Danio rerio: one gene and its partner. The protein of the gene in region 1 interacts with the protein of each later gene in a biochemical or structural test. Links are inferred from orthologs where the notes say so. Each region holds a gene or a part of one and is shown on either strand. Other genes may lie near its edges.

Evidence for each region.
Region 2: of the proteins of usp20 (region 1) and hif1ab, one has a biochemical effect on the other in vitro, tested with the Homo sapiens proteins (2 studies listed by BioGRID and IntAct, with this or other methods). The link is inferred for Danio rerio from reciprocal best matches to the Homo sapiens genes USP20 and HIF1A.

Annotation. Positions count from the first base shown.
Region 1 is NC_133180.1:33,926,550-33,930,383, forward strand, and holds part of usp20 (ubiquitin carboxyl-terminal hydrolase 20), read left to right. Parts: intron 1-2,300; coding exon 2,301-2,733; intron 2,734-3,834.
Region 2 is NC_133195.1:22,873,713-22,877,546, reverse strand, and holds part of hif1ab (hypoxia inducible factor 1 subunit alpha b), read left to right. Parts: intron 1-438; coding exon 439-695; intron 696-3,120; coding exon 3,121-3,347; intron 3,348-3,461; coding exon 3,462-3,584; intron 3,585-3,834.

The DNA of each region.
Region 1 (3,834 bases):
ATGCGCTTTTTTTGTCAGACTGGGGTTTCTAAATCTGAAATTACCGGGATTTGACTTTTGCTTTCGCTTTCTAAAGCTGTCATCAATTATGCACACAGAGAGTGAGAGAAACATTAAATAATTATTTTTTAATTCTATATACTCAGAGAGGAAAGGAATTGAAAGAAATTATGAGTTCTAAATTAGCTGAAAAATATATGTACATTATTAGTATGGGTAATCAATTATTTTGCCCTATTTAAATTATCTAGATGTTTTATTCTTGTAATTATTATATTTTTTTGAGATATTGTCTACTTTTATTCCTTTTTTCTGTCATTTATTTCTAATTTGTTTTATATTTTATTAATTTGATGCCAATAAAGCAAACTGAACTTAATTGTGAGATAGAGTAAAGCAGATTTTATCTGTCAGTGGGTGTACATGGCTCCTGAATAGCCTAAAATTAAAAGAAATAGTGAATTTCTTTTTTTTTTTTTTTTTTTTGTACCTTAACCCATTGTAAGGAAACTGTTTCTTAATAAATTTAATTATTGTTAACAATTAAATTGTTATGTTTGTTGCATATAGTTAACTATTTATCTGATGTGGGTAAAAGGTGTGTTTCAATCCAGCTAGCACCGCAAATATATTTCAAACCCGTGGGAAGCACTGTGGTGTATTCTAGGGCTTCACAATATTGGAAAAAATACATAGCAATATTTAGCATTTTTGATATATATTTTTGATATATATATATATATATATATCATATATATGATATATATATAATATAATGATGATATATATATATAAGACCATTGATATATGTAGACCACTTCATGTTTTCAAGTCATTGATAATCCCTACATGACACTGCACATTCTGCCAATAGTGGATGTGCAATCTGAAAACAATCTGAAACAATACATTGTAGTAGCCCTAGTGTGTTTTATTTAAATTCCACTATAGTGTGTAGTGTGTTTTATTTAAATTCCACTATAGTGTGTAGTGTTTATTTATTTCATTTTTATTTTAATGTTTTTTTTCTGTTATATTATGGTAATATTATAGTATGTTATATTATTTGCAATTCTGTCAGGTCTTTTATTTAGGCTTAAAAAATTTTAGATTTAGATCTCTTTTATTTCAGTATTTTAGTGCTATTTGATTTTTTATTTATCAGTAAGTTATGCACTCACCAGCCACTTAATTAGGTACACTTTAATAGTACCAGATTGGACCACCTTTTGCCGTCACAACTGTCTTTATCTTATCTTTATCGTGGCATAGATTCAACTTGGAACTGGAAATATTCCTCACAGATTTTGCTCCATATTGACATGATAGCATCATGCAGTTGCAGTTGCTGCATTTTTCAGCTGCACATCCATGATGTGAATCTCCTGTTCCACCACATCCCAAAGGTGCTCTATTGAAGTTCTGGTGACTGTGGAGGCCATTTGAGTACAGTAAACTCATTGTCAGGTTTAAGAAACCACTCTGCGATGATTCGCACTTTATGACATGGCATGTTATCCTGCTGGAAGTAGACTTCAGAAGATGGATGTGGTCATAAAGGTGTGGTCATAAAGGGATGGACATGGTCAGCAACAATACACTGGTAGGCTGTCTGTGGCGTTGACACAATTTTCAATTGGTACTAATGGACCCAAAGTGTGCCAAGAAAATATCCCCTGCACCATTACACTACTACCACCAGCCTGAACCGTTGATACAAGGCAGGATTGATCAATGCTTTCATGTTGTTGACGCCAAATTCTGGCATCATCAACCATGTCAAAATACCTTAAAACACCTTTCTTCCCCATTCTGATGCTCATTTTGAACTGCAGCAAATTGTATTGACCACGTCTAAATGTCTAAATGCAGTGAGTTGCTGTCATGTGATCGACTGATTAGACATTTGTGCTAATGAGCAGTTGGACAGGTGTACCCCAATAAAGTGGCCAGTGAGTGTATTTTATTCAAAGATTTATTTCTTTTATTTATATATTTGAAAAACATTTTTACCTGTATTGTTAAAGGAGATTTGTGAGACAAGCTAGAGTATTTGGGAGTGAGGGTTATCAGGAAAAGTCTGCAAGCTTTAATTCGAACTTTAATTGCCCAGAATGCAGTGGTGCTACATGTCAGCATACCACCCACAAGGCTACCGGTGCCAGACAACATTGATTTTGAATAGTTTTGTTAAACAGTAATAACACTCATATGATGTCTACTGTGCATTTTTTAAAGACTATTATTTTCAAAGAAATAATATAAACCTCATTGACATTTTGTTTCTTGCCTGTTTCTAGGACACTCAGGAGTTTTTGCGATGTCTGATGGACCAGCTTCACGAGGAGCTGAAGGAGCCTTTGTTTGACTGCAGCGGTGGCATCTCTGAAGTCGAGCCTGACCTCAGTCTGGACAGCTGTAATCTTGTGGACGGAGACCGAAGCCCCTCTGAAGACGAATTCCTGTCGTGTGACTCTGGATCAGGAAGCGAAAGGGGAGATGGAGAGCGTGCAGGAGGAGAAGCAGAGCTCCTCATTCAAGATGAATGTGTGGCAGTGAGAGGAACCGGAGGCATCTCGGAGAAAGAGAGGCTGAAGGAGAGAAGAGGAGAAGAGAGGACACGTGAAATGGATGAGGATGCAGATGTGGACACAGCTGCACAAGACGGACAGGCTGAGAGAGAAACTGAAACAGCGACACCAGCCACAGCTGTGCCGGCACCAGGAAACACAGGTGTGATGGCCTGAAAATTGAGATTTTTTCATGTTTTTATTGTTGAAAGAGTTATGCTTACCATTTATTAAAAATATAATGTGAAATATTAATACTGCAAGCAGCACAGTGTGTAGCACAATCACCTCACAGCAAGAAGGTTGCTGTTTCGAGCCTCGGCTGGGACAGTTGGCATTTCTGTGTGGAGTTTGCATGTTCTCCCCGTGTTTGCATGGGTTTCCTCCGGGTGCTCCGGTTTCCACCCCAAAAGTCCAAAGACATGCACTATAGGTGAATTGGGTAAGCTAAATTGTCCGTAGTGTATGTCTGTGAATGAACGTGTATGGATGTTTCCCAGTGATGGGTTGCAGCTGGAAGGGCGTCTGCTGCAAGGAAAGAAGCTGAGTTTTCAGCAGCCATTTTGCCAATTTTCAGTGTCACGTGATCAGTAATTATTCTATTATGCATTATATGTTTCTTCTTCTAACCCTAGGGCTGGCAAATTAATCAAAGAGGATTTTTATGTGCATTTTTTCAGTGAAGACGGTTCTAGTAAAACTTCTATTCATCAGATGGAGCGGCATCTACTACACACAGCTGTAGTACACTGAGAAGCTACACAAAAATTTGTAAAAAAATTTATTTGATTTGCTTGGTCGATAATGACATTAAAATCATTGTTCTGTAATATTAACAGCTGTTGAGTTGCTTCTCAGTGAACTATAGCTCTGTTTAGTAAATAATAAAAGTAACATATAATAACATGCAACAAATAATAACATGGTTTAACTCCAAACTCGCAATAACTTCAGTGTTTGAAATGAATCTTGCTGTGAGATGATTCTATAGTTGTGCGTTTATTAGTCACACTGAATCAATCGCATCAGTTAAATAATCTGTGCCCACTTTTTCAAAAGCAGTCCAGTGGGATTTTGGATCACAGATTGGATCAAGATTTGGAAATGGGTTTTTTAAAGTAACAGTGGGATTTTTAATTAAGATCAGATCATGTATTGAAATCTTACATTTGATTTGGATAAAACCTGCCCTTTGGGTTATTCAAAACTTTAAACTTAGATTGGGATCTATTTGATAAAAAAAAAAAAAAAACGTGATAATCCT
Region 2 (3,834 bases), on another chromosome or scaffold:
ATTTGGAAACAATCATTTTTAGAGGAGTGCATTTGTACAAAATATTCAATAAATCAGCCACAAGCATTGATAAATACAGTGGGGCACAACATTATGTTATTTCTATGAGTCAAACAGAATTCTGACGAAAATATAATAATCAAATCATGTAAAATATAGAAATACATTTGTCACAGGCCTTAAAAACATACAAATGTTAAACTTTTTGTACCTTTAAAGTTCAAATTAGCAATGACTTTACAAATCATGTATTTGAAAACTCCTGTGGTTCCTGGTCAACTATAATCCTAATTTGACATTGCAGGTCCTGCAATAGAACTATTGTGGATTCACTTGTGATATTGATTCTGAAATGATATATTGTGCGTTTCTATGTAAAATGTATGCATAAATGCTAATTAACTCATATTTTCAACTTTACTACTCTGTCTTATCCAGTGGCATTGTAGAGGGGGATGTAGTCCTGTCCTTGCAGCAGACCGTGACTGAGCCCAAGGCTGTTGAGAAAGAAAGTGAGGAGACTGAGGAAAAGACCTCTGAATTGGATATTCTCAAGCTCTTCAAGCCAGAAAGCCTCAATTGCTCATTGGAAAGCTCTACACTTTATAATAAGCTGAAAGAGGAGCCAGAGGCCCTCACTGTGTTGGCACCTGCAGCAGGCGACGCCATTATCTCTCTGGACTTCAACAACTCAGGTAATTCTTGCTGGATGGGTACATTTTTTCAGTAATTTGAGAGTAACTGGAAGCCACCTAAATTCATTCAGTTTCAATGAGAGCTTATTAAAAGATCCATGAGCAAAGATGCACATATCTTTTTATATATTCACATCTAGATTAGTCTTAAGGGACATTCCTGCAATGTTTATTAACACTTCTAGTCTATAGTTTTAATTTTTTACAGTTAAAGTGAACTCTGTGAAATTAGCCCCAATATTGATAAAGAAACCTTAAAATTTCTAACTGGTGGAATCAAGTTGTTTATACCCACTGTAGAATGGGTCAATCAAAGATGACACGCAGTTTTTTAGTACAATTATAGATACTCCCAGTATGTTTTTCACCTGTAGGAGTAGATCCTCCAATCTGTTGTCTTTGCAAAAGCACTTTATCTGTGAAGCATGTTCTCTCTCAACACAGTTTGTGTTGGCTTTAATTCTTTGAGACATTTTTTTATTTAGTTCCACTATGCTACTTTTGAATACATTTTTATCACTGTTAAACCGAATATGGTTTAAGAGATTTTAGCAATAAATGAAAAAATACTTAAGCTTTACTGCAGTCAGTTGATATTTTCTCGCCATGAAAATAACCAAAGAACCTGGCATGGCATTAAACATAAACAAACCTTTAAAGTGTAATTTGGGGGATGTATGAACAGGGATGTATGCTTTTAGAGTTTAACAGGATTCTTTGGAAGTCATTTCTAAGATGCAGATTTTCGCTCAAGAAATATTTATTGTAGTCATTGTTGAAAATTGTAATGTTTTAATGAGTAGAAAGTTCAAATGCACGTCTATTTAGAGAATAAATTTCTGTTGCAACGTAAGAGACTTCACTGACTATGTTTACATGGACATCAGTAATCGAATTATTTGCCTTAATCTACAATAATAAGATAAAGGCGTTTACATGAGTTGCTTTTTGAAAGTTTCTTTCATGATCACATTTTACATGTTATAGCACATACTTAGATTACCGTCATTGCGTCACCGCATTATCCGCATTTCCTCCGAAGTTTCATGTAATTTCGGGTGTTTTATTGTTAATTTGTCAACTTTAACTGCGGTTTGGCACTTTCACTTTCATTCGTGCATGCCCCCGATGACAAACGAGATGTTGGATGCAACTATGAACTGCTGGAAGAGTTGTTGTAATGGAAGTTCATACCGCATGCTGAATGGAAGAAAAAAATGTTTGTTTCTTTATTGAATGATGGAAACTAGTATCATTTGACTTAAACGGTATTTATTTTCCTACAATGTAAGTCAGTAGCTATGCTTCGATCCACCTATTTAAAAAAAAAAAAAAAAAAAACGATTGATGGAAACGCCACGATGCGCATACATTTTGAAAATGCGCATGAACTTATGCGCTTAACTGAGTAGGATAAACTTGTTATTCGATAAGAAAAGAAGTGTAAACTACGATGAAAACACTTTTACCGCACAAATTTCATTATGAGCATTAAAAATGGTCATGTGATTCTGTTATAAGAGATCATGTGATGAAAATGTTTGTAAATGGACAAACCAGCTGGCTGAGCACAATATAAAACAGCTGAAATGTTGTTTTGGTCATTCTAAATTGCCTTACCGTTTAAGTATTAGTGTTATTATATTATTAATGACCTCCAGAATCAAGAGCGTCTGTGCTTCGTGTCTCACACCTTCAAACGCCACTGCGCATTCATTGCGTGTCAGGATTGCCTTCTAAGGTGCAAATCATTTATTAGATGAAGAGAAGATTGACACAGCTTCTTCTACTCCAGCAAGTTCGTTTTTTTTTTTGGTTGATATTTGGTGCCAGTTAATCAGGAAATGACTATTTTGTTCGCTTTGATGGAAACGCTGCTTTATACACACATTTTATGCGATAATCTAGGTTTGTTACATAGCTAATGGCTACCAACTTCCTATACTCTGCTAAAGTCATCTTTTATGTTTAACAGAATTTTGCATTGAATTTGGATGTAATCTACTCATGTGAATACTTCAACTTGCAATTGGTGTGAACTCTGTATTACTGACCATAAACATTTCAAGAGTGTGTATCTTTAGAGCAGTGTTTCTCAACCACATTCCTGGTAGACCACCAGCTCTGCACATTTTCCCTGAGACTGAAAGGCCTATAATGGGTGTGACAGACAATGTAGATAACCAAAACATGCAGTGTTGGTGGTCCTCCAGGCACATAGTTGAGAAACACTGCTTTAGAGGATTAAATGCAATCCCCTGGCAGCTTTTTATCTTATGAAGACTAACAACTCTTGTCATTCACTAATCATCTGAGATTACAGGAAATGTGCTTTCATAATTTTACTGAAGTAAATCTAATATTAAATACACACAGTTCCTTGGTGGTCTACCAATAATAATTACCGGTATCCATTTCCCTCCAGATTCTGACATACAGCTGCTGAAGGAGGTGCCCCTCTACAATGATGTCATGCTGCCTTCCAGCAGTGAGAAGCTGCCACTCAGCCTATCTCCTCTCACACCCAGCGACTCCATCCCAGCTCTGACCAAACTAGAGACTGGAGGAGAGGACTTCCCTTTCAGCTCTGCCTCTGATCGTGTGCCAGACCCCACAAACACACCCTCCACATCTGGACTCGGCTCTTCGGGGGTAAACACTTATTAAACGCTTGCTATTCTTGGTCATTTAACAACAATTGCTCCCTTGTAATGGTTAATGAGATACTGTCACTGACTTTAGGTTGTTTTTTTTTGTCAATCTTAGCCCAACAGCCCCATGGATTACGGTTTCCCAGTGGAACCAGACATCAGTTCTGAATTTAAACTCGACCTGGTTGAGAAACTGTTTGCTATTGATACCGAAGCAAAGACACCTTTTTCCACCCAGGTAACTTTTTATTTAAGATTTTAACTACATATTGTTTGTCTCACTCTCTCCCAAAATCAAATTCTAATTCAAATGAGCTTTATTGGCATGACTTGTCAAGTATTGCTTATATATTGCAAATATGAATATATATACACATGTACATAAAACACAATTACAGATTTGATAAGTACATATGCAAATAAAAAAGACTAAGTTTTTTATTTTATATTATTACAAAGAAAACGAAAGAAAAATAAATTATAAAAAA